7 linked regions of the Rattus norvegicus genome follow. The protein of the gene in region 2 purifies or fractionates together with the protein of the main gene of each other region. This does not show direct contact. Links are inferred from orthologs where the notes say so. Each region holds a gene or a part of one and is shown on either strand. Other genes may lie near its edges. The genes, in order: Mta2, Chd3, Bcl11b, Smarcc2, Sin3a, Zfp219 and Kpna1.

What was found.
Region 1: the proteins of Chd3 (region 2) and Mta2 purify together in Homo sapiens (affinity purification with mass spectrometry; 8 studies listed by BioGRID and IntAct, with this or other methods). This does not show direct contact. The link is inferred for Rattus norvegicus from reciprocal best matches to the Homo sapiens genes CHD3 and MTA2.
Region 3: the proteins of Chd3 (region 2) and Bcl11b purify together in Homo sapiens (affinity purification with mass spectrometry; 3 studies listed by BioGRID and IntAct, with this or other methods). This does not show direct contact. The link is inferred for Rattus norvegicus from reciprocal best matches to the Homo sapiens genes CHD3 and BCL11B.
Region 4: the proteins of Chd3 (region 2) and Smarcc2 fractionate together in Homo sapiens (co-fractionation; 3 studies listed by BioGRID, with this or other methods). This does not show direct contact. The link is inferred for Rattus norvegicus from reciprocal best matches to the Homo sapiens genes CHD3 and SMARCC2.
Region 5: the proteins of Chd3 (region 2) and Sin3a purify together in Homo sapiens (affinity purification with western blotting; 3 studies listed by BioGRID, with this or other methods). This does not show direct contact. The link is inferred for Rattus norvegicus from reciprocal best matches to the Homo sapiens genes CHD3 and SIN3A.
Region 6: the proteins of Chd3 (region 2) and Zfp219 purify together in Homo sapiens (affinity purification with mass spectrometry; 3 studies listed by BioGRID and IntAct, counting the BioPlex papers as one, with this or other methods). This does not show direct contact. The link is inferred for Rattus norvegicus from reciprocal best matches to the Homo sapiens genes CHD3 and ZNF219.
Region 7: the proteins of Chd3 (region 2) and Kpna1 purify together in Homo sapiens (affinity purification with mass spectrometry; 3 studies listed by BioGRID and IntAct, with this or other methods). This does not show direct contact. The link is inferred for Rattus norvegicus from reciprocal best matches to the Homo sapiens genes CHD3 and KPNA1.

The regions. Positions count from the first base shown.
Region 1 is NC_086019.1:215,273,397-215,276,508, reverse strand, and holds the end of Mta2 (metastasis-associated protein MTA2), read right to left. Parts: intron 2,934-3,112; coding exon 2,705-2,933; intron 2,374-2,704; coding exon 2,284-2,373; intron 1,839-2,283; coding exon 1,720-1,838; intron 1,619-1,719; coding exon 1,470-1,618; intron 1,266-1,469; coding exon 1,100-1,265; 3' UTR 501-1,099; downstream 1-500. UniProt on the Homo sapiens protein: May function as a transcriptional coregulator. Acts as a component of the histone deacetylase NuRD complex which participates in the remodeling of chromatin.
Region 2 is NC_086028.1:54,578,811-54,582,310, forward strand, and holds part of Chd3 (chromodomain-helicase-DNA-binding protein 3), read right to left. Parts: intron 2,525-3,500; coding exon 2,238-2,524; intron 2,025-2,237; coding exon 1,894-2,024; intron 1,733-1,893; coding exon 1,582-1,732; coding exon of another isoform or gene 1,564-1,581; intron 1,426-1,563; coding exon 1,232-1,425; intron 960-1,231; coding exon 729-959; intron 563-728; coding exon 359-562; intron 213-358; coding exon 1-212.
Region 3 is NC_086024.1:132,653,103-132,656,602, forward strand, and holds part of Bcl11b (B-cell lymphoma/leukemia 11B), read right to left. Parts: intron 342-3,500; coding exon 138-341; coding exon of another isoform or gene 126-137; intron 1-125. UniProt on the Homo sapiens protein: Key regulator of both differentiation and survival of T-lymphocytes during thymocyte development in mammals.
Region 4 is NC_086025.1:1,476,503-1,480,002, reverse strand, and holds part of Smarcc2 (SWI/SNF related, matrix associated, actin dependent regulator of chromatin, subfamily c, member 2), read right to left. Parts: intron 814-3,500; coding exon 754-813; intron 623-753; coding exon 585-622; intron 372-584; coding exon 241-371; intron 114-240; coding exon 42-113; intron 1-41. UniProt on the Homo sapiens protein: Involved in transcriptional activation and repression of select genes by chromatin remodeling (alteration of DNA-nucleosome topology).
Region 5 is NC_086026.1:66,388,283-66,391,782, reverse strand, and holds part of Sin3a (paired amphipathic helix protein Sin3a), read right to left. Parts: intron 164-3,500; 5' UTR 132-163; coding exon 1-131. UniProt on the Homo sapiens protein: Acts as a transcriptional repressor. Corepressor for REST. Interacts with MXI1 to repress MYC responsive genes and antagonize MYC oncogenic activities. Also interacts with MXD1-MAX heterodimers to repress transcription by tethering SIN3A to DNA.
Region 6 is NC_086033.1:27,170,169-27,174,177, forward strand, and holds the start of Zfp219 (zinc finger protein 219), read right to left. Parts: upstream 2,801-4,009; 5' UTR 2,632-2,800; coding exon 2,626-2,631; intron 2,319-2,625; coding exon 884-2,318; intron 598-883; coding exon 466-597; intron 231-465; coding exon 1-230. UniProt on the Homo sapiens protein: Transcriptional regulator. Recognizes and binds 2 copies of the core DNA sequence motif 5'-GGGGG-3'. Binds to the HMGN1 promoter and may repress HMGN1 expression. Regulates SNCA expression in primary cortical neurons.
Region 7 is NC_086029.1:78,231,632-78,235,131, forward strand, and holds part of Kpna1 (importin subunit alpha-5), read right to left. Parts: intron 831-3,500; coding exon 705-830; intron 1-704. UniProt on the Homo sapiens protein: Functions in nuclear protein import as an adapter protein for nuclear receptor KPNB1. Binds specifically and directly to substrates containing either a simple or bipartite NLS motif.

The sequences.
Region 1 (3,112 bases), on a different chromosome or scaffold from region 2:
CTGGGATCAACTCCCCAGCATCAAAAGGGAGAAGTGGGTAACAGGAAGACATTCTCACACCTTTCTGTGGAGACTCAGAGCCATTAGAGAGCTTTGAATGAATCCAGATCAAGATACTGCTTGCACTCCAGCCCCAATGGGAGAAGCTTTAGTCCCACAAGAAGGCTAGCTGGCACAGACTACCTCCAGTCCCACTGCTTATCTCGTAAAGCTGTTCCTAGAACAAGCACCATCTGTACCTCTTTCAATGTCCTTTGTCCTCTATTTCCCCTCAAAGATACCCCCAACACACACACACACTCTCACAACACACACACTCTCTCACACACACACACACACACTCTCTCTCTCTCTCTCTCTCTCTCTCACACACACACACACACACACACACACACACACACACACACACACACACACAGCAGCAGCAGAAAACAGCTGAGCCTGGAGGAGCTGAAGAAAAGAGCTTTTTATTCGTCACTATAAGAACCAATTACAGAATCTGAGGTTAAAAAACAGACAAAAGATCTTTATTTCTGAGAATTGGCATATAAAAGGCAGAGGGAGAAAGGGGAGGGAAGAAGAGTGAGCATGGGCTGGGGTTGATGCCAGCTTAGGGCCCTCAAACTCCAATAAGGAAAGTCCGGACACCGGACAGTAAGAGTAACCCCCCCATCCCCAATAGAAAATAAAGAAAAGAGACATGGCAGTGTACTCCCCCTTCCCCCTGCCAGGGACCAACACCTGATATGTTTACTCTTCCCTTCCTCCATCCTTTTACAAAGGAAGGTAAATTTTTAAAAAAATTAAAAAACCCTCCCCCCAACTGTCCAAACCCACTGTGGGTCCCAGGCCCCAAATAGGGTAGGTACACACAAGTAAGTTCCTATAGGCTGTTTTCCATCACAGGCATGGAGAAGCCCAAAAAGGGGAGATACTGGCAGTAACACCAGAGGGTGTTCAACCCCTGCAAGGACACACGCACACCAACTCCAACCCTCCCTCACTCCTTACTCCCTTTGATACCAAAAGGAATGAAGATTTGTATGCCCTGGGCAACCAACCCTTTACCTCTCATCCCACCTCCCTTCCCCTAAGATGCTCAATCCTCCAGGACAATGGGCTCATTGGTGCTAGCAGGATGTGAAGATGCCGGCAGAGGAACTGGGGGCCGCACTGTCATCAGCGCTGTCTTCACCTTCAGGGGTAAGTTGGGCCTTCGAGCAGCTCGGCGCATTTCCAGGTGAGTTAGAGCTTTCCTTAAAGCCCTGGCCAAAAAGAGCAAGACAGAAACAGGGAGGCTTGAGGAGCAGCAAGACTCAACCAGATAAAACTCCACAATGCACTCTACAGTTCTACCCTCGCCTCATTCTGCTGTGCACCTCTCTTTCTCAGACACTCCTACAACTTCCAATGCCCGCCAACTTGATCGTCAGCCTCTCAGCCCCTCCCATGGTGGACTCCCTCCCTACCTGGTATCCTTTGTGGCCACAAATACCACTGGATTGGGAGCATCAGCAGGGTTTAGTTTCTGACGCTTGGCTGCTGGCTGTGAGCTTGAACGAATCCCTGAAGCCAGAGGCCTTCCATTGGCAGAGAAGGGAACCCCTGCCCCTGCCATCTGGAAAAGGACATGGTGTACATGAAGGAGCTACCTTCCTTAGACTCCTACTAGAAATAAAAGCCCACCCCATTCAGCCTTCCCAGTCCACTGTCACTCACAGTCTCATAGGAACGTTTCACCATAATGCCCCCCAGGCCTCGATTCTGGGTCAGCTGGTTTCTGTTGATTGGTGTCTTGGTGCCCCGAGGTGTTTTTGGTTTCAGAGGTGCCTGAGCCACTATCAGCAGAGGAAGAAGGGAGATGAAATAGAACAAGACCTTCTCATTACCATTCTTTCTTCCCTCTCTACCCTGACCAGTTGTTTACCCTAATGGCCTAAAGATTAGTAATGGAGAAAAAGGTCTATCAAGCTACTTAATCAAATTTTAAAAAACATGTTTCAGATCAGAAAATACTTATGTAAAGCCACTACTATGCCAGAGATGGAGCTCAATGGTAAATACTTGACCAGAATACATGAGGTTCTGGGTTTTGATCTACAGCACCACCACCAAAAACCAATTATCACAAGAAGCACCATAATAAGAGAACACACACACACACACACACACACACACACAGTTTATGTGGACTCAGTGTGAAAGGAAAACTCTGAGGAAGAAAAGACTCTTAGCTGGCAACCTTCCACCCACCCTGGATTGAGTGTAGTTCCCATCTCCTACCCAGATCTTTGACAATAGCTGCCAAGGGCAGTCTCGCCAGGGGGTGAATCTTCAACGGTGTCTTGGCAGCCTTAGGAAGTCGGATAGAGCCTGGAGAAGAGAGAAGAGCCTCTGGGCATTCTGCAGCTTTGTTTTGGGTTTTTGAAATGGTTCTGCAGTGAAGTCCCAGCCTAGAACTTGCTTATCATCCTGCTGACTCCACTTCTCCACTGCTTGGTTACCGGCATGTGTAACAATGCCTAGCCTTGTTTCTTAAGATTGGGTCCTACTATTTAATCCAGGCTAGGCCGGAGCCATTACATAGCCTGGTCTAACAGGGACTGAGGTAGCTATATCCTGTCTCAGCCTGAGGGCTTATGTTCTAAGCATACACCATCAGACATGGCAGATCAAAGCCTCTGCACTAGCACGCAGTCCTTACACTCTGCCTTGATGGCGTTGGCATTGATGGGGGCATAGGGTCTTCGGGCAGCCCTCCTTGGCTGTAACAGGTCTCTGCACATCCGTCTAGCAAGACGAGTCAGCTTTGTGGTCTGGAGCAAGAAAGTTTGCCTGTTCTTAGCCAGCAACTTAGCCCGGTTAGCACTGGTTGTATAGGGGGAGAGACTTTGGGCTTCAGGTCTGGATAAATGACCTCTTGAGTGTGGCTCCTGGAGGAATGATACATAAAGAAGAGAAAAGGCAAATCAACACTGCAGCTCTGTCCTCCATCACCTGCAGACAGCAAACTTCCTACCTGACCTCTTCACTGAAACCCCTGCCGACCTTCCTGGCGTCCCAATACTTAGCAAGTGCTCCTGCCCATTTGACAGTCTCCATGGAAGAAGTC
Region 2 (3,500 bases):
CTATGGTTAATAATGCGGTGCACAGTCATCCACTCTGGCTTGATGCCGAAACGGTAGTACTTCTCCTCCATCTCTGCGTAGTGCGGGTCCTTCACCTTCCGCTTATCACTCTTCCCATCGTCCTCACCAGATCCATAGTCCAGCGGTGGGGGCTCGTCCATGTCATTTTTCCGTTGATAGTTTCGGTACATTACCAAGTGGAAGATTTCCAGCTGGTGGGGCACAGAGGAAGGGAGAAGAAACGACCTCTAAATCCAAAGAAGGCAAAGGAGCTGGATCCCTAGGGAACGGAGGGCCAGGAGAGAGCAGGAGGCTGGGAGTGGGATCTTAGGTGCTGGGAAAGGAGAGGCCTTTGTACCTGAAGCTCCTTGGCCCAGGAGCAATGCCAGTAGGACAGTCCCACCCACTTGACAAAGAACTCCCTCTCTGATCTGCCTTGAAGAACACGAGGGGGTGGGGCGTCTGGATCCCCGTCTGCCTGCTGCGGGGCCGGCACTGCCACAGGTGGCTCCCCCCATCGCCAGTGCAAGATCTTCTGAACACGGCCCTTTAGCACAGGACACTTCAGGATGGGCGTGTAAGAGAAAGAGGAAAGAAAGGGGTGAACAGAACCCCGTGTTAGGTAGGACAAGGGGTAGGGGCTAAGGAAGGAAGAGCTGCGCGGCCTCAGAAATGGCTGAAAGGTGGCGCTTGGATGGTGGGCGCTGTGAGGATGAGGTTCTACTTACCGTGCATCGAGGGCACAGCCATTCACCATTGGGGATGTCGGGCAGTGGGGGGTTCAGACAGTGGATGTGGTAGGAAGAGATGCAGGCGTCACAGCACAGGAGCTCCCCGCCGTCCTTGCACACTCGGCAGTACTCCATGTGGTCATCCTCTTCCTCCTTCTCTCCTTCCTCCCCTTCCTCCTCATAGTCTTCCTCTTCTTCCTTGGCCTCCCACTGTACCCCTTCCTTCTCCTAGGAGGTCAGGCGCAGACAGACATAGACAGAAGAGAAGGAGAGACAGGAAAACCAAGATGATTGAGTCCTAGACGTGTATAAAAGTCTCACGGAGCCTATCAAACAAGATACTCTGACTTTCCAAAGTTAGTGACTCTGGGAATAAGGGGTTGAAGGAAAGGACCCAATTAGGATTCTGGACTCTGAGTAGTGCTGAGAGGCCTGGGAAACCATAGCAGAAAGCAAGAAGGAAAGAGATAGGTGGGACCATGAAGGCACCAGGTACTCACACAGTGGGGGCAGCTCCATTTGCCCTCAGGAGCTCGATCAAGCTCAGGGTCAAGGCAGACGAGGTGGTAGGCACGGGGGCAGGTGTCACACAGAATAATTTCCCCGCCCTGCTGGCACACCTCACAGTAATCCTGGTGATCCGTCTCATAGCCATCAACTTCCTCCTCCCCGGTCACTGTAGGACAGCCCAGGACTGTCACATACCCCAGTCAGGACAGAGGGAACAGAGAAAAAAGAAAGGGATTCAGGGAAAGACACACAGAAGGTTTGAATAGAGGTCAATATCTGAAGTAAGAAAAACAACAAAGGAATAAGTCACAGAGAGGCTCACACATGGTGACCTCCTCACCCTTCTTCTTCTTCCTTCCTGGCCGGCCTCGCTTCAGTTTCTTGGCACGGACAGGACCATCAGGCCGGCCTGAGGCACTATGAACACTACCACTGTCCAGGTCTGACTCCTCAGCCTCTGGTTCAGGGCCCTCATCACCCTGAAAAACACACTGCCCAGAGCCCCGCTGCCATGAGTGAGGCATCCTGGGTTCTACCCACCACCACGCACCGTCCCCAGACTGTGGGTCCCCACCCCAGCTCCCCTCAGGGACTGTCCATGGAATTCAGCCCTTGACAGACAGGTGCTGAGCAGATGGGGAGGGTTGCTTACCGAGCCCGCCTTCCTCCTCCTGCCCCCCAGCAGCCCTAGCTTGATTTTGAGTGGTGCCATCTTCTTTCCTCGAAGCTTCTTGCGCCCATCGGGGGCTCGGGCGCTCTTACCCCGCCTCTTGTGGCCTGGACCTGCGTGGGAATGTGGAGGGGAGAAGGTCCACAGGCCATGACACTTCCTGCTAGAATAGGAGCCACAGGGAGCTCTAGGCTGGGTGTTACTTTCCCCGTCCCAGGAAGCATTTTCTTCCCCAGCAACCATGGTGGGAAAGCATGGGTTATAGAGTCATGAAGCCATGCAGTTTGGAAAGCAGGGTACAGAGGTCGGAAGAAGAAGGGTCCTACCTTTGCCCTCTTTGGTTTTGGCTCTTCTGATGGGTGGGGGCTGGATTTCAGGAGCAGGGGGTGGTGGAAGGGCAGGGGGGGGTCCAGATGGTGCTATGGGGGTGGCTGAGGAGACAGCAGCTGACACCTGCTCAGCTACAGCTGCTGCTGCTGCCGCTGCCGCTGCCGCCACAGCAGCTGCTGACCCTTTGAAGGGGTTATTGGCGCTGAACTCTCTCCACTTGGCCCCCAGGATGGTCATCATCTTCGACATCGGGATCTTAGGATTCTTCTTAGCAATTAAGGGCCTGAAAATATAGAAGCAGAAAACTCAGACTTTTCACAGATGGTCTGGGAATACTGCCATCTCCTGTATCAATTAAGTCTATGCTAACATTCCTGGGTGGGAAAAATATGTCCTATTAAGAAAAATATTAATTTAAGTAATGAGCTAAGTAAAAATAAGTTAAGAGGAAAATCTATCCTGTCAAGTCCCACCCTCACAATGGCATGCTTGCCTTGATTTTCTGCGTTTTATTCAGTTATGGGAACCTGAAGGCAGTTTCCCTCAGGATAGTTAGAAAGACACAGACATCGTGTTTTCCTCTAGGGGGCGTGGTCAGCTCTTATTAGGATATCTATGATTCTCAGTGCTGACAAACAGGCTATGTAGCAGGTGTGTAGGTAAGACATTTCCAAAGACAGTTACCAAATACCCCCGAGGCGAGGTAGCAACATCACTGGGCTATGCATTCAGCCTCCCATCAAACCCACACAGGCTCCTACCAAGCATGCATTTCTAGTTTACAGGTAAGAAAACCGAGCACCGGGGTTGGGGATTTGGCTCAGTGGCAGAGCGCTTGCCTAGGAAGCGCAAGGCCCTGGGTTCGGTCCCCAGCTCCGAAAAAAAAAAAGAACCAAAAAAAAAAAAAAAAAACAAACAAAAAAAAGAAAACCGAGCACCTACGAAATTAAGTAACTTGCCCGAGATGAAAGTAGGGCACTAAACTGTTGTGTTAAACTTCAGCATGTGTATCCAGGGCACCGAAACTGCTGTGTAAAACGACACTCCTACCCGGGGCATTCGCATGAGTCTCTGCTTTCAGAGTCCCACAACTCACGCCCATTGCTCTCGGTGCATGATTTGTTTTTACTGTGGCTTAAGAAAGGGTTCTGGGGCTGGAGAGATGGCTCAGCAGTTAAGAGAACTGGCTGCTCTTCCAGAGGTCCTAAGTTCAATTCCCAGCACCCACATGGTGGCTCACGACCATCTGTAATGGGATC
Region 3 (3,500 bases), on a different chromosome or scaffold from region 2:
AAAAAAGCTTTTTAAGTGGGGGGGGCACACCCCCCCTTGGGTTCCCACCTTGGGTCCCCGGCTCGGCCCGGGGCACAGCCCGCCATCCCGGGAGCCCACCTCCCCCACCGCAGCGACTCTGTTACCTGACAACTCACACTGGCATCCAAAGGGAGCCTCCATCTGACCCTCACCCTGAGTCCCGTCGCCCGAGATGGGGCGTGCACCACAGCAAGGCAGCGGGAAACAGGGTGGGAGAACGCCCAGGGCACGCAGAGGTGAAGTAATCACGGAGGTGGGAGGGTGGGAAGAGGAGGCAGCTATGGGGGCCATCGATGGCAGCTGGGCAGGCCTGCACGGCCCTGGAGAAAAAACAATAGAAAACACTGGTCAGTTGGGCCCTGGACTGTACAAGGAGCTCGGGGCACAAGAGGGGGCCAGGGTCACTGGGCTACAGAAAGGCAGCCTCAGAGAGGGTTCGGTCCCGAGGACACCAGCGGCAACTGCGGTCCAGGGGCAAGGGAGAAGGGGTGCACAAAGGCTATAAGCAGGGACTACACCTGCAGCTGCCAGATAGTTTCTGGAGGGGGCCTGCCTTGGGGGTCCCTAGTGCAGGGAGCCTAGCATAGAAGGCCTGTCAGGGCCCCACTCCCAGTAAAGGTTCCCTACAAGAGTCTTTCAGAACGAACTGGAGTGGGCTTCGCTTGGCGGTTTGTTCTCTCAAAATATGAGCCACCCCTCCTTGAAAGAGGCAAGAAACTATGTCGGTGTAGGTTCTCCGGACAGGCCTGCGCCACCTCAAGTCTACCTCCAAGAGTCTGGGCGCTAATGAGCCTCCTGCCTAGCTGACTGCCTGGGGCTTGCTGGACTCTGACAAGTGGCACCCAAGCCCCAGAAGCTCACAAGGTGCCCTGAGCTCCTCCTCCCTCCCTTACCACAAGAAAACCTAGCATGGCCCATGGTCTTCACCCTGGGAGTCCCCACTCCCTCATCGGACAGCCAGTGACAGCAATGAACAGGGGCGGCGAGGGTGCTGCCTTGCCTCCACCCCGCCCCACATGGAGCCTCCACTGCCAGCAAGGCCTGGGTTTGATTTGGCCATTTATCTTACATTGGTTAGGAGACCACCAGGGCAAAACATTTGTGTGAAGCCCTTGCCAAAACCACAAGTGAAGAAGCCCAAATTCCCTGAGTAAATAATTGAGCAGAGAAGCATCAGAGAGACGAGAGAAAAAAAAAAAGAAAGAAAACCAAACCCAAAACACCAACAAGATCCTGGACAGCTAAGCCTCACCAGCTCTTCAAGGGAGGCCAGAGCTTCGCTTCCTGACACCTGCAGATCTGCACAGGTGGGATCTGCCTACCCTGTAGCCACCACAGAACCACACAAGCCCTCGGAGAGCGGGGAGCCTCCAGATCGGGTCTCTACCACGCCCCTGAACATGAGGATGTAGGACGCCCATTGCACAGAGCCCAACAGAGGCCAGAACTGTAGGAATCGGCAACCTCAGCAGTTTCAAGCCTCCTCGAAATCCCATGTCTTACGTGTAAATACAGGATCATGTGAATACAGGATCCAGGTACTTGGGGCACTTGAGAAGGGGCCCAGCTTGGAGCTCGAGCACTGAGATGTCTAGCCAAGAGGCCTACGCCCAGCATTGACACTGCCAGACCCTGCTGAGGCAGTGACATACTCGTACAAGGCACAGTTGTCTCTGCCCTGGCACATAACCCCCAAAGGGCCAAGAGCAAAAAGCCAGAGTTTTCCTATGGGCCTCAAGCAAGTACGATCTGAGGCCAGACTTACCTGGCTCCCATGGGAGGCCAGTGTTTGCCTCAAAGCCCTCTGCATCAAGACACTGTACTTGACCCTGTCCACGAATGGCCGTGAGTCCCTGTGTGGGGGTGGGGGGTGGGGGGGGTCTTCCTTTTAAACCAGAGAGTTAGGGTCACTGAAAGCCATCACAGTGAATTTGCACCAAGGGTAAGATAGGCACCATTAGGAACAGAGAGGACCACCTCCCACTCCACAGGGAGAAACTGAGACCCAAGAGAAAGCACGCTGGGACATGCGCAAAGCCCGTTCCTACCGCTATGGTTGCTTTGGAGTAAAGTGACCAGGGTACCCGGTATCCTGAAGCCAAGGGCCACATGGGGATGGAAGAAAACAGAGAAGCCTGGACCTCAGCCCATCCATTAGTGAAAGGAAAAGGCTTCTGGCTCTACAAAGGGCCATAACTCAGCTAGCACCACGGATCACGGCTGAGAATGCCCACGGGAGCTCCTCAGAGTCGACGCTGACAGAAAGAATGGCCAAGGAGCAAAAGGGAAATAGCATAGCGTTGACTCCACAGCCTTCTGGAAGGAGGTCCCTGGGGCTGAACCAGAGTCTGTCACGATGAAGCCACACACCCATACCAGGTGGTAACACTGGCTAGACAGGTGGCCACAGGCCCTCATCAGGTATGATAGCCTCACTAATGTCTACTGCTCCAAGGGCAGGAGGGTGTGGGGTCCCTATAGCAACCCCTTCTAGGCACCGCTGACCTCCGTCTGAGCTTTGCACACAGTGGGACCTGGATCCAGCTCCCCCAAAAGCTGAATGAAAAGCCACCATGCTATAACGCCACCGTGAGCTCCCGGGCAGCCAAATATCAGGAAACCAAGTAGTAATTACCAGGGGCTGGGGGCGGTGGAGAACTAATGGGTTATGTGGTCTTCGGAGGGCGTGACCAATTAAACAGTAGTGACGGCTACACCACATTGCACATAAATCCAAAGCCCCAAATGGAACGAACTAAAAGTTTCACAATATGCACATCTCCATTTACAAGGGAATCCAAGGTGAGGACGGCCGGTGCCTCCCAACCTCCACCTTCCAGTGGAAGGGATGCTGGCCTTGGAGCTAAAACAGACAGCTCCTGAGGTAGCTCACAGAGATGCCAGCCCCAGGGGTCTGTCGGGGCACTGCGCAGACAGAGCCAGCCACCTAGTAAATGTGGCCACTACCATCCTTACTCACAACGGTCATTTGTTTCCAGACCTGGGACTGTCTCTCCTCTCCTCACCAGGTCTCCTCACAGCACAGAGCCTGCTCCAGCAGGGAAGACACCCTACAAGCCTCTTCAGAACACTTCTTTAAAAAGCCCTCTGAGATGGGGGTTCATCATTGGGAGTGCTTTCCTAGTGGGCATGGGGACTTGGTTTCTGTTCCCAGAATGAACAGAAGATGTGGGCCTGTGAGATGGTTCAGAAGTTGAGGGTTTATCCCCAGGACCCACATAAAGGAGGAGGTGGGAGACTAACCCACAAAATTGTCCTGAGCGCCACCGTGTGCCACAGTTCATCGTGCACACACGGGCACAGTAACAATGTGCACCATACAATTTCACACTTTCTTTTAAAAGACGCTTCCTTTCGCAGTCTAAGCCAGTCCAAACAGACCCATATGTATCCAGGTATGTGGGGGAAGGATGCAGGCACCATCGCAGCTTCTTGTAGGATCTCGAGCGGATTAATGA
Region 4 (3,500 bases), on a different chromosome or scaffold from region 2:
AAAAAAGATTAAGAAAAGAAAATCATAAACTGAAATCTTACATCTCTGGAGTCTTGGACTTGTTCTTGCCGTTGAAGAACTCAGGAAGAGCCCTCCGCTCAATGGCATGGACACTGCAGGATAAATCACAATGGTTCACAAGGCCCCAGGGGTGGGTAGTTAGCAGCTCTTGGCTGTGGGGCAACAGGAGAAACAGCCCACTGATCAGCAAGGGGAGGAGGAGGGTGCGTAGGGTAGCACCTGTTGTAGTCAAACCAGGCAGCATAGCTGGGGACGATGATGTGGTGTGTCTGCTCTGTCACGTTGTCCTCGTGCAGGTCCGCGCTCTTGGTCTGCTCCCCTTTGTTGCCGGTGCTGTTCTCGTCCTCATCCTAGAAGTATGGAGGCTGCTGGATACTCAGCATTCCCATCCCCTAGCAACCCTCAGCTCCTCCGGTAGCCAGGAACAGGATGCCACCGAAGCGGGGAGGGAGATGAGGATGGGCACCTAGGCCGGGGGTGGGGAGGCTGGGCAGAAGGAGAGGTGGAGCCCTGTAAACACATCACAGAGACACACAGAGACAGCCTGTCTAAACCAGCTGCACCTTGCCCGTGGTCTCCATGCTTTCGTCGTCCTGTTCATCTGGAAAGGGAAGAAGCCGAGTGTCAGGCAGGAAGGAGCACAGGGTCAGCAAAGGCAGAGGGCTGGGGGAAGGTAGGCTGAGCGCTCCATGCCTCAGGCACTGCCTGCTAAGGTCTCCCTCCCTGTCTCACCCAGGTCAGTCATGGTGCCGCCTTTGACTGGTGCTGACTCGGAGTCCTTTTTAGTGTTGACTGTCGGGAGAAAAAGCCACTGCATTAGACATGTTGGCCAAAATCAAGCTCTCACTTCTCAGCTGTTAATAGTTTCACATATCTTGCTTTCTCAAAAAAACTTTCAAACATGTTTTCTATTTTACTGCCTTATGCAACCAATGGCTTCCTTTAGCTTTCTCATCTGTGTGTGCAGTTCCATGACTCCCCAGCCTCAGCATCCTAAGGGCCATTCTTTTCTGGCTGCTCTGTCCCCTATCTGTTTCCCTGTACAGTCTTCTAATTGAAGGATGAGCTCATACCAGGTAAGTAGTCAGATACCAGCCCTTGGTTACTCCTGGCAACTGAACCCAGGCCTCACGCACATACGTCTAAGTGTCTACCAGAGTCACAGTCCCAGCACCAAGCCTTCTTTTGGGGCTTGGGGGTCTCATGTGTTCCAGGCCTCTTAACTTACGAAGAGCGGCCTGGCTCTCTGCACCTGCTCCTGAGAGCTGCTGAGCTTACAGGTGAGTACCCCACCAAGCCAGGCTCCCAGCACTTTCTTCTGGTCTTCCCTTCCTAAACTCTTTATTTTGGTTTTGCCTTTTTCAAACAGTCTCAAGCTAGAGAGAAGGTTGAGAGGTTAAAAGCACTGGCTGTTCTTCCAGAGGTCCTGAGTTCAATTCACAGCAACCATATGGTGGCTCACAACCATCTGTAAGTGTAGTTTCATGGAATCCAATGCTAACAAATCTTACAGGCAGATAAACATCATTTTACATGAAATACATCCATAACTAAAATTTATTTACTTTTTTTTTTTTTTTTTTTTTGGAGCTGGTGACCGAACCCAGGGCCTTGCGCTTGCTAGGCAAGTGCTCTACCACTGAGCTGAATGCCCACCCCCTTATTTACTTCTTTACTTAGTATCTTTTAAGAAGAAGAGACACAGACTGAAGCAGCCAGCCTGCCGAGGGCCGGGCCAGCAGTCAGACGGCAGGTGTGAGGCAGCACACTTGGCTTTCCTTCTTATTGTGAGTTATGCTACCGGCCTCAGGAGTCATTCTGAAGCCCAGGCAGATTCTGTACTATTTACATCCTCCTGCCTCAGTCATGCAATCACTGAGATTATAGCCTATACTATGACACCAGGCCTACTTAAATGAGTAGATCTTAATTAATAATATTGTTGTTTTGGGTTTTCTTGAGACAAAGTCTCACTATGTAGCAATCAACAGCTGTCTTGAAACTCACTATGTAGACCAGGCTGGCCTTACATTCACAGAGATTCACCTGCCTCTGCTTTCTGGGTACTGGGATTAAAGGTGTTTACCACCATTTCCAGTCAGATCTTAATTAATTAATTGTTGAATACAAGGTCTCTGTATGGAACCTGGCTGTCCTGGAACTTGTGATGTAGACCAGACTAGCCTCTAATAGCTTACAGAGTTCTTCCTGCCTCTGCCTTCTAAGTGCTGGGATTTAAAATCATGTGTCACCATGTCTAGCCTAAATATTTAAAGAAGATTTAAAACTGTCTGAAAGGCTGGGGGACAGAATGCAGGACTCTACACCTGCTAGGCAGTGTTCACTGTAAGCTGCACCCCTAGCCTAATTTTCAATGCTGTAAAGCAGAGGAGACTTTTCTCCCTTAATTTCATACACAATGCTCAGGAGAAAACAGCTTCCCAACCCCACTCACATACATCTCTTGATATGTGAGGCTGGCGGACAGGGGACAGACTACAAACCAGTACTGTAGTGCAGTCCCCTCAAGAGCACTCCTCATACTGGACAGACTCACAGTCAGCAAACAGTGCCTGCCGTCCAGAGGAGATTCTGAGCCTAAAAGAGGGGACCAGATCCAGGTCCTCTGGAGCTAGAGGGCTCTCTGGGGACAGCAAGCACTCTGATTGCTCAGCCACCTCTCCAGACTCCCAGCTCTGTTTAAAATGTCGTCTTAACATTTTTACAGTTTCATTTTCTTTTCCTTTTTTTTTCTTTCTTTTTTGATTCAGGGTTTCTCTGTGCAGTCCTGGTTGTTCTGGGATTTGCTATGTAGACAGGGTGGCCCTGAACTCAGATCTGCCTGCCTCTGCCCACCAAGTGCTGGGTTAAAAGGTGTGTGCTACCACCGTGGTAGATTTTTATTTTTTGATTTTTTTTGAGTTATTTCTCTGTGTGTGAGTGTTTGTCAGAATGTATGCTTGTACACCATCTGCATGCAGTGCCTGCAGAAGCCAAAAGAGGGTGCTGGGTGCAAGGGTCCTGGAATTAGGCGGTTGTGAACCACTGTGTGGAACTGGAAAGCAAACCTGAAAAAGCAGCCATTGCTCCTAACCACTGAGCCAGCAGTCTAGTCCCCACCCCACTCCCTTTTTTAATCATAATGTTTGCATTTTTTAAAGATTTATTTATTTATTTTATGTACATGACTACACTGTAGCTGTCCTCAGACTCACCAGAAGAGGCCATCAGATCCCATGATAGATGGTTGTGAGCCACCATGTGGTTGCTGGGAACTGAACTCAGGGCCTCTGGAAGAGCAATCAGTGCTCTTTTTTTTTTTTTTTTTTTTTTTCGGAGCTGGGGACCGAACCCAGGGCCTTGCGCTTGCTAGGCAAGTGCTCTACCAGCAATCAGTGCTCTTAACCATTGAGCCATCCCTCCAGCCCTTGCATATGTTTTAAAATGGTCCTAAAGTGAGGTTTTGGCAGTATAATTTA
Region 5 (3,500 bases), on a different chromosome or scaffold from region 2:
ACTGCTTCATACACAGGAGGGGCCGGGGCAAGAACCCGGTGCTGGTGAGAAAAAGCCTCTGTGCTTCCAGGAATCCTTCGCTGCTGGGCTGCATACACTGGTGATTCCTGGTCATCCAAACGTCGCTTCATTCTGCACTCATGCTCAGAGATGCACTACAAACCTGTACAAACCACAAAATGATAACATAAATAAAATTTCATTCCAGGATGATGTTCATAACTTAGGACCAGTTGCCCAAATTTAATCTAAGTCTGACTTTCGGAACTAAGCTACCTCATCTTAGAGTCAAGCTCTGAATGAATGACCCACACCTTACAGTGAACAAGTTAGAACTGAAAGACAGAAGGTTAAGGAACAGAATTGTAATCAATTTGGTAACACTAAGTTGAAAAAAATCCTACAATTAAAAAATGCAAACAACTTTAAACTCTCCTATTCTAGTTATAGTATTCTGTGATGGTTTCAATGACAATGGCTCCCTAGGTCATATATTTGAATGTTTGGTTCCTAGTTGAGGGACTGTTTAGGAAGAATTAGGTGTGGCCTTGTTGGATAGTGTCACGGAATTTCAAAAAGTCCACACCATTCCCAGTTAGCCCCTTAACCCCCTTCTCTCTCAGCCTCTTGGTTGTCTCAACATTTAAGCTCTCAACTACTATTCGGCACTGTCCCTGCTTCTGTACTCCTGGCCATGACCTCAATGGACTAACCCCATGAACTCTAAGTAAGTCCCAGTTCAAAAGATGTCTTTCCTCTCCAAGTTGCCCTGCTCATAGTGTTTCTTCACAGAAGTATAACAGCAGTGTAAGGTAGCTCCTGAGACACTGTTAGAGTTAATACTGGTTACATACTCACATGCTGCAAAAGCACTCTGAAAACTCAGTACTGGGTCAGAGGATGCTTGCTATAGTGAACAAAGTGGGGCTAGTTATTAGGTAGTTTAAGTTCATAAATACCTATTGTCATAACAACCTGAAACTGTCATAGAGAGGTAAGATATGCCAGGAGCATGAGGTTACCTTAAAGAAAATGTACATTTTAAAAAGTTTATTTCATGTAATTTTTAGAACCTTGAACTAAAAATGAGAATGAGAGAACAGATGAGAGAAAGAGAGAATAGATGACTTCCAAGTTTCCTTCTGGACCTTTCTCACATCCTTTACATACAAGAAGTCTCTTCAGCGTAACAGGAGACATTCTCTTGAAAGAATACACAGTTTAGCACCACTTTACTCAGAAACCCACTTGAGGTTTTTTTGTAAGCATTTCCAGCATCAGCATCATTAACCCAAACATAATACAGCGCAGCGAAGAAGGAATATTTGGAAGCAATACTGCTTAGTGAGTAAAGGTGCTTGCTGCCAAGTTTGACAGCCTGAGTTCAATCCCTGAAATTAACATCATGGAGAAGAGGAGGCAGCTGTAACTGTCCTCTGACATTCACACGCTTGCCCTGGTACACATACATACTTATGCTTGTTTGTATACAGAAGAACTATATAAATACAAAGGGGTCGGAGAGATGCTTCAGTGATCAAGTGCTTACTGCTCAACCATGAAAGCTAAAGTTCCAATCTCAACACCCACACCTCTTATGTTACAACTCCCTGAAACCTCTCCTACAGGAGATCTAGCTTCTGCAGAAGCCACACTTATGTGCAAATGTCAACACAGCCTCCAACACACACAAACTCATCATACACATATAGTATCTCTATTTTGGAATGAGAAACCAGGTCTTATAAAGGGATGGCCTACAAAGTCCTTAACTTTTGACTGCTGCTTCTAGATTTAATTTTTAGTGGTTTAAAACCTAGATGTAATCAGGCAGTGGGAGTCCCGTTAAGTCCAGAACTCAGGAGGCAGAAGCAGGCAGATCTGAGTTTTGATATGAAGCCAGCCTGGTCTACAGAATGAGTTCCAGGACAGACAGGCCACACAGAGAAAGAATTCCCATCTCAAAAACACAAAACAAATGAAACCCATGTTAATCTTCTAAGATTAATCTCTAATAAGAAACCAGTTTTTATAAATGATAAATCAAATATACATGAAGAACACAGCACAGGACCATGAAAAAATTAGAACATTTATTAGGCACTGTATTCTAACCAAACTCTCAATTGAAATTTTATAGCTTTAGTCCCGTTTTATGTGATTTTGTAATGTTCAAATGCTATTCCATAAGCCAGTTTATAGGAAAATGTTATTTTAAAAAAAAGGTAGGGGTTGGGGATTTAGCTCAGTGGTAGAGCGCTTGCCTAGCATGCGCAAGGCCCTGGGTTTGGTCCCCAGCTCCAGGAAAAAAAAAAAAAGGTAAAGGGGCTTGAGAGATGGTTCAGTGGTTAAGAGTACTGTCTGCTCTTCCAGAGGTCCTGAGTTCAATTCCCAGCAACCATCTGGTGGCTCACAACTATCTGTAATGGTTTTGGAGAGATGGCTTAGCTTGGTGGTTAAGAGCACCGGCTGCTCTTCTAAAGAACTAGGGCTCAATTCTCAGCATACACATGGTAGCTCACACCCAGACTGTCACTCTGGTTCAAGGGCATCATGACTCAAGTACATTGGGGCTAAGTTCTTGTATTCCACCTCACTAAGGTACGGTTTTGCTGCATCAAAGCTTACAGTAGGCTGGCTGGTTTATGAGCTTCCAGGAGACTATCCTGTCTCCAGCTCCTATCTTTCAGGAGTTCTAGGACCACAAACACACACTACCCTGCCCTGCTTTTCACTTGGATTCAGATTGAACTCAGGTTGTCAGGCCTGTGTGAGAAAGAGCTTTACTTGTTGAGCCATCTCATTGGCTTAGAAGTTCTTAAAAGATAAGAGTTTTAAGTCGGCTGGTGAAGGCTCAGGCCTTTAATCCCAGTACATGGAGGCAGAGTTCTGTAAGTTTGAGGCCAGCCTGAGCTGTACAAAGAAACCCTGTCTCAAAAGAACCAAACCAAACCAAACCAAAACAAAAGCATAGGATATTTTGTTGTCAGGTAGTCTATGAAAATTTAAAATGTGCACTCTCTTTAATTTACCCAATCCACTCCTAGGTCTCTGACCTACACTCCTGCCAAGTCTAGCTGCTACAGCAGAGTAGGAAAAGCTGAGTGCTAGGCTCTGGCCAACTGAGCTACATCCATGCTGTGGGAACTGAACAACTATAAAAACCAGTGCTCATTGTCAGCTGAAAACATACTAAGTGAAAACAGGCCATGCGATATGTACACTGCAACCTCATGTATGACTTACACACGCCATTCACTCAGTACTTGTACAATCTATAATCTATGTCAAGTACTTGTGTTAATTGTACTGCAACATCACTGAGAAATAAGTCAAGAAATTAGACTTCGGGGGCTGGAGAGATGGCTTGGTAATTGAAAGTGCATACTGCCCTTGCAGAGGACCTGAGTTAGTTCATATCAACCATTAGGCAACTCAGGAGCATCTCTAACTCCAATGCCAGGGAATCCAAACTCTTTGGCCTCCCTGAGCACCTGTAC
Region 6 (4,009 bases), on a different chromosome or scaffold from region 2:
AGTAGGCCGGGTACTTGCAGTGCCCTCTACCCAGGTAGCAGAGGCCTGAGTGGGCTTGGCTCCTGACTGCGGCTGCAGTGAGCCCCGCTGGGAAGGTGGCGGGGGCTCTGGGGGAGGCCCAGGACCCGCACTGCTCCTCTGCTCACGGTGGTGACGCTGAAGGTGATACTTGAGCGAGCCCGACTGGGTACCTGCATAGTCGCAGTGTGGACACTTGTAGGGACGCTCTCCTGTGAAGAGTGGGTTAGAGTAGGTCATGGGGTCACTGTCACTCGCACACCTACACTGGTATTTTGCTCAATTTACAAACTTCATCCCAAGGACCAGGAGTAAATGCTGACTCCCCACGAGGTGATTTAGATGATCTTTCCAACCTGAAAGGGGGCCAGCATGGCCTCCAGCCTTCTGGTTGCTCTTACCTCTCTTCCCCCTAGACCCTCCCCTATGCAGAATGCCTGGCCTCACCTGTGTGCACGCGAAGATGCACTTTGAGGTGATGCGCCGAGCGGAAAGATTTCCCACAGAAGGGGCAGTCCTTGCCAGTGGCCCCACGGCCCGCTTCAGATCGTGTCCCTCCAACCAGCAGCCCGTTTTCTTCTGCAACACGATAAAAGGAAGTTATAGGGTCTCCCTGCCTTGTCCCGGCCATTATACCCACCATCCTTTGGGCCCAAGAGGAAGGAGGTTTGGGGAAACAGATCTGTTAAAGAGATAATACCCTTAGGAAACCACAAAGTTTCCAGTAGGAGAAAGAGAGGTGCGGGGTCGGGGATGGAGGATAGAAGCTCAGGAGAAATCGAAGCAGGTCTTCTGAAAAGGAGTGTTGGACAAAGTTTCAAGAATCAAATGCCACCGATCCCCAGAGAAAATAGTGTGTACATACCTTGGGTGGCCGTAGATCTTGCCTGGGCCCCCACAGCAGGTGCAGACTGTCCTGACCCCTCACCCGGGTTGGGATGTAGGGAAGTCAGAGAGCCCAGTGACCTGCCTCGGGCCCAGCTCTCCTCTTCCGCTTCCACCACTTCTTCTTCCTCCTCTGGTTCCTCTGTACGGTGTCGCCGGGCCCGGTTGGGCAGAGCTGAAGGCAGTGGGCGGAATCCTCCATAGCTTCGGCCACCTCCAGGGTCAGCACCCTCACCATTGGGTCGTACTTCCCCAGCTCGTACACTCAGGTAGCCTAAGAGGCTCGGGGGCTCTCGGCGCTCAGCCGGAGTGGGTGCTGGGGCCAGGAGGAGCGCAGGACCCAGTGGCTCATAAGCCAGAAGGCTCAGGTCAGGAGGCTGAGGGGCCCTGGCAGGCGCAGAGCCGGGGCCTGGAGCACGCAAAGGACCCAGCTTGCTGGTGTGCACCTTCATGTGGTTCTTAAGGAACCAGGGCTCCTTGAAGCAGCGACCACATACGGGGCACGCATGATCAAAGGAGGCCTTGTGCTTGCGCATGTGACCCTTGAGAAACCAGGACTGTGTAAAGCTCTGGCCACACACCTGGCAACGGAACTCAGGTGGCGCGGGGGGCTCCTCCGGAGGCGCAGGAGTTGGGGCAGGGTTTGCCTCACGTTCAGGCTCTGGCCTAGGTTCAGGCTCAGGCTCAGGCTCAAGGGCAGATCTGGGTTCTTGCTGGGGTGGAGGCTGGGGTTCAGGTGTAGCAGTAGCCGCCAGGGGGCGCTCGGAAGCCCCGTGGGCCGTCAGACTGTGGTGCAGCAACTCCTCCTCCTGGCTGGAGCCAAAACTGCACAAGCTGCACTTCCAGGGCCTGTGCAGGATATGCAGGTGGCGTTCCCGCTCCGCCGAGGTGCGAAACTTGCCTTTGCAGAAAGGACAACGGAAGGCAGATGAGGAAGGAACCTGAGGGCGCGCCAGGCCCTCTGCGGCAGGGCTGGACTGCATGCCCCCTGAGCTTCTGGCTCTCCCGAGTCGGGCTTCACGAAGCAGGGCGCGTTCCTCCAACTCCAGCAACAGCCGTGCAGCAGGACTGCGTGGACGCTCCGGCTGGTGCGTTCGGAGATGAGAGCGTAGCAGGGCCCGCTGAGCTGCGCGGTGGCCGCAATGTGGGCACTGGAAGGCTTGGGCGCCCGGATGGGCTCTCAGGTGCAATGCCAGGATAGAATTGAATCGGAAGCGCTTTCCGCACACAGGACAGGGGAAGCGCCGTTCGCCTGCACGAGTCTCAGACCAGCCCACTGCTCCCATCCCAGGAGAGCCGGGTCCTGGGGTCCCGCTGACACCTGGTCCGTTGGAGTAGCGCTGAAGATCCAGCTCGCCGTCGAAGGCTGGTGGGGAAGGCTCTAGGTGGCCGACCAGGATGCGGGGACGTGAGCCCTGTGGGGAAAGAGGCACGTAGAGGACAGGGTGGAAAGGGTGGAAAGGACCGACTTGTAGAAAACGCAAAGGCATCAAGGGCACGAAGAACAGAAGAGTGTGTATGTAAGTTAGGAGGTTGAGGCCGGACCTAGGTACACTGGTGCCTCTCACCTCCAGAAACTGTGGGATGAGTGGAAGTTAGACACTGGGGCCAAATTAATAATAATAACGTGTGTTACAATAATAGGAAGTTTAAAAAAAATAGGAGGCAGGAGAGGGTGTACCGTTGGAGGTACTTTGCAGGTCAAGGAAGAACTTCACTCACCTCCATGGACCCCCTTCACATTCTTTGGTTCTGAGGATTGGAAGGAGGAGGAAGAAAAGCTGCTAATGAAGGCAACAGGTGCGGAGGTGCTAAAACAAGACAGAGTGATTGGAGGAACGATGAGCCCTGGCTTTCAGCAGTAAAGTCACCCCACTTAGCAGCCTGTATTCTTGAAGCCCATCCCTGCTTTCTACTGTGATCCTGAGGTATCACATGCTTCCTACTTGCTATATCAAAACTTGCATCCCTTGATCTGCCAACTTGTATGATGAATCCAGACTTCCTCCCCCAAATGATGTTTTCAACACCTAGTCCAGAACCACCATCACTACAAACACACACACACACACACACACACACACACACGCACACGCACACGCACACACACACACACACACACACAATGTGGGAGGGCATCATAGTATACCCCTCTTCCACTCGCGTTGGGCTGTGCCCCTGGATAAACAAATGTGGAGAGCTAGCCATACTCCTGTTATCCAAACGGTACTAGCTCCTCTCAGACCCAGGGCCAGCCAGCCAGAATCCCTCCAGGTTCCTCCTCCTCGCTTCTGCCGGCACCCAGTCTTCTGGTCTTTCCTCCTCCCCCTCCCCCTTCCTGGATTCCTGATCCATTCATTTCCATTCATTACAGAGACTCATTCATGCATGGGAGAGAAACACCTCCCAGCAGCAGAGTCTGGAGACAGAGGGGGAGGGGCATGAAGGGAGAGCCAGCTACAGAGGGAATGAAGAGTTGGGGGAGGCCTGGAAGTTAAGGAGCACTACCGGCCTAGGGAAGGGGTTAAAAACTGCAAATCCCATTTAGGTTTCACCCCGTTTCAAACCTTGGAGCCTGTGGTTTGACGGGGCATCTCAGCCCCTTTGTCCAGAGCTGTTCCGAAGCTGGCTTTCCTCCTCTCTGCAGGGGAGAGGCTTCCTCACACAAGAGGAGGATTACACTGGCTCTGAGCTCAAGAGGCTGGAGTGAGGGATGGGGGGCGGGGCCTTGCCATCTGCACAGATAGGGGATCCACACAAGCTCTGAGCAGGAAGGGGTTAAAATTCTCCATCTAAAATTCCCTGTCCCCGACCAGCGCTGCACAGGGCTGAGAAGAAGAGAGTTGAGGAAGAGGATGGTAATGGAGGTTTTCCCGCTGTTTAACTGCTGGCAAGGTCATGGAATTCAGGCTTCAGTGGATGGATGACCAGAAGTCATCCTATCTACCTTCCTTCTTCCATATTGAACTGTATCTTGTTCAGGCTAGATGAACTTGGGCCTAGCTTCTTTTTTTTAAACCTCAGACATAATACTCGATAAAGAACTTCCTTACAATGAGATTTATGAAACTGAAATGGGTTACTAAGAAAAACAAAGAGGACTCAA
Region 7 (3,500 bases), on a different chromosome or scaffold from region 2:
CCAGCTAAGGTTATAAAAGGCCATTAATAGTCAATAAAAACTTTAAATCAACCTAACACATGGGTTCATTGGAAAATGTAATTTAGTAAGAAGTAAAGTCAATCTATAGCATATAGTTAGTTCATCAAAACATTTTGAAGGGCTGGGGATTTAGCTCAGTGGTAGAGCGCTTGCTTCGGTCCCCAGCTCTGAAAAATAGAAAAGTAAAAAAAAAAAAAAAAAAACCATTTTGAAAACATAAATACTTTTTTTGGATCTTCCATAAATTAAAGAGGAAATGTATGGCTAAGCAAAAATATCAAAAGACAAAAGACTATCATCAGGATACAGAAAAATCAGACTGAAAAAGTAACACTGGAGGTTGACAGTTCTACGGGAAATGCTTACAGTCTGTATATTAAAGGCTGACCAAAACAATTTTACTTATAATTAAAGATTTAAAAAAAAAAAGAGGCTGGAAGGATGGCTCAGCTGTTACTACTCTTTCATAGGATCTAAGTTCAGTTTCTAGCACCCACAGATGGCTTAAAACTGACTGTAATTCCAGTTTTGGGAGATGCAATCCCCACTTCTGGTCCCCAACAGCATCACATGCACATGATGCACATACGTTAAGGCAAGCACATACACACATAAAAGTAAATAGAATATCTTGACAATGCACCTTTCACACAGGGAGAGAAGGGAGGGTACGACAGCATTACCTGGATCTGTGCCCTATTTCCAGCTGTAATATTAGAGATTGTCCAACATGCTTCTTTTTTGATAGATTCCTTTGGGCTACTCAGCAGATGCAATAAACTCTGAAGAGCTGAGCAATTCAAAATTACCTAAAAGGGGGAAAAAAAAAAAGAGTCTTAAATTTTTTTTTGTTTTGTTTTTGTTTTCGTAGCTGGGGACCGAACCCAGGCCACTGAGCTAAATCCCCAACCCCTTTAAGTTTTAATTATGGCATCGTTCTCAATATATCATTTGGTTTTGGATTTTTGTTGTATTTTTTTGTTTCTTGAGACAGGGTCCTATGTAGCAGAGTGGCCTCAAACTCAATGCCTAATGTAAGAAGATCTTGAAATCCCAGATCTTCCAGTATCTACTTCCCCAGGAGTTAATAAGTACATCTTTAATTCAACAAACTCGTTTTAAGAAACATGTAGGAGGAGAGAAACCCTCCTCTAAAATTTTAAAAGGTAACTTTATATAATACATAAAGTATCTTTAACTTGCATTTACTCATGTATGTATACAGACTTGGGTAAACCACAGTACATATGAAAATCAGAGAAAAGTTTGAAGCAGTTGATTCTCTCCTTCCATCATGGGTCCGAGGAATCACGCTCAGGTCAGTAGGCTTGGTGGCCTTTATCATTTGAGCCAAATTACCAACCCAATAAAAAAATCAGTACTAGCCTGAAATACATTCTAAGATTATTAAACTGGTTTCATTGTATACATTCACAACCACCAGGACATTTGTGGTGGAACACACAATGGTAACCAAGCACTTGGGAGGTAAACATAGGAAGATCTTGAATTTGAGGATAACTTGATCTTTATAGTCAACTGGCTCTCCAAGAAATAAGCAAAAAACTAAAAAGAAATAAAACAAAATACAATATAATACATCTACAATGATGTATTTAAAAACTCTAAGAGGCACTAAAGAAAGGGCTCAACAGTTAGAGTACTTGTTGCTCTTGCAGAGAGGACCCAGCCTCAATTGTGGTTTATAACCAGGCACAAGTCCAGTTCCAGAGATCTGATGCTTTCCTTTCTGGTCCTCAGAGGAACCAAGCTTACATATAGTACACATACATATGTGCACACAAAGCACACAGAATAGAATGAATTAAGTCTTTTCTAAAACAACTAAAAAATAGGGGCCAGGTGTGTTGACACATACTATAATAATCCTAGCACTTGGAAGACAGAGTTGGATTTCTACTGGGTTTAAACCCAGTATAGAGAGAATTATTATAATAGGGCCAGCAAGGGAAACATTGTAAAACACTGTCTCTACTGAAAAGAAAAGGGGTAGGGAAACTTTGCTGAGGCCTTTGGTGCTAAATAATGATATTCTAACCCTTTGGGGCTGACTTTCTAGAGGTTGAAGAGGGTTTGACCTCTGGAATCTTTCTACCTTATACTCAATAATCCAATACAAACTGAAGTCTACAGGATACTAAGAGTTAAAAACCAAAGCAAACCTAAACAAAAAGCCAATACCTTAAAACAGCTTTCAAAAGCAAAGGAATCAGATTATATCAGAAACTAAAACAGATAAAATCATTAAAATGGTAGGTAGGTGAAGAGTTCAAGAATCCATCACTGTACAACTGAATAGGCTCTATTCCAGAAAGAGGCAAGTATTTATAAAGAAATAGAAAATAACTGGTAATTTAATGGTTTTACTTACTACACAAGTAAAATAGCCCAAATGGATGGAACACATTCTTTTTTAAAAAATAAAAATAAAAACCCTACCCACAAAATCGCCAGGAAAAACAAAACAAATCAGCACATTTCAGGCCGGTCTGGAGGTGCTAAAAGCCTTTTCAGACACACAGACATTAAAATGACAGGCAAAAAAATTAACATTTATCTAAGAAAAACTGCTACATGTCAAAAATCCTAAAATTAAAATGTATACCATATCAGATGAAAAACTATTTGTAACATGGACTGGCCATACAGTCCAGAGAGTAAGTGCATTTGCTGGCAATCGGCCCGATGACCTGAATTCAGTCTCAATGACCCATATAGTAGGAAAAAACAGACTCTCATTACATTCTCCTCTCACTACCATGTGACATATACAGATATCACACCAACACACGCACACAGAAACACAAAACAGATGCAAAAAAAGTACAACAAATAATTTATCATAGTTAAATAAATTAAAAAGAAAAACCTAAAATAGAAAATTTCTTCACTAATATGAATAAAAGTTAAAACAAAGCCATGCATTTCCTATTCAATGTATCAACTAAAACAATAAAACTTACAGCTAAAAGTGTTCTTTCATTTACAAAAAGAAAAGAATCTAGTAGTAGTGGTGTGTAGGATGATGTCATTACACAGCAAGGCAGATCCAGCCTATCGCTGGATGAGAAGGACAGGTTGGTGGAGAAAAGTCTAGGAAGGAGAGAGGAGGAGGAGGGGTGGGGGGAGAAGAGACCAAGATGGAGTCTACCATGGAGGATGGTTCAGATTTAGGTGAATTAGATGGATTTTATCTTGTCTAGGTAGGTAGTTTATATCTTTATCAATTGGCACTGAATTTACTGTGTGGATGAATTATGAATTGACAATTTAACATGTAAACATAATTGTTAACCTGCAAGTTTCTGGAACTTTGATTTTACCAGGCTAAAGAGGACAGTGTGTGAAAGACATGGCTAAGAAGCAGCTGGACGAGCAGTTGGAGCGAGCGGATCTGGTTCTGTTGCCTGCACAGAATGAGAATGTGCAGGGTCTGCAGAATGAGGTGGGTGTGTATA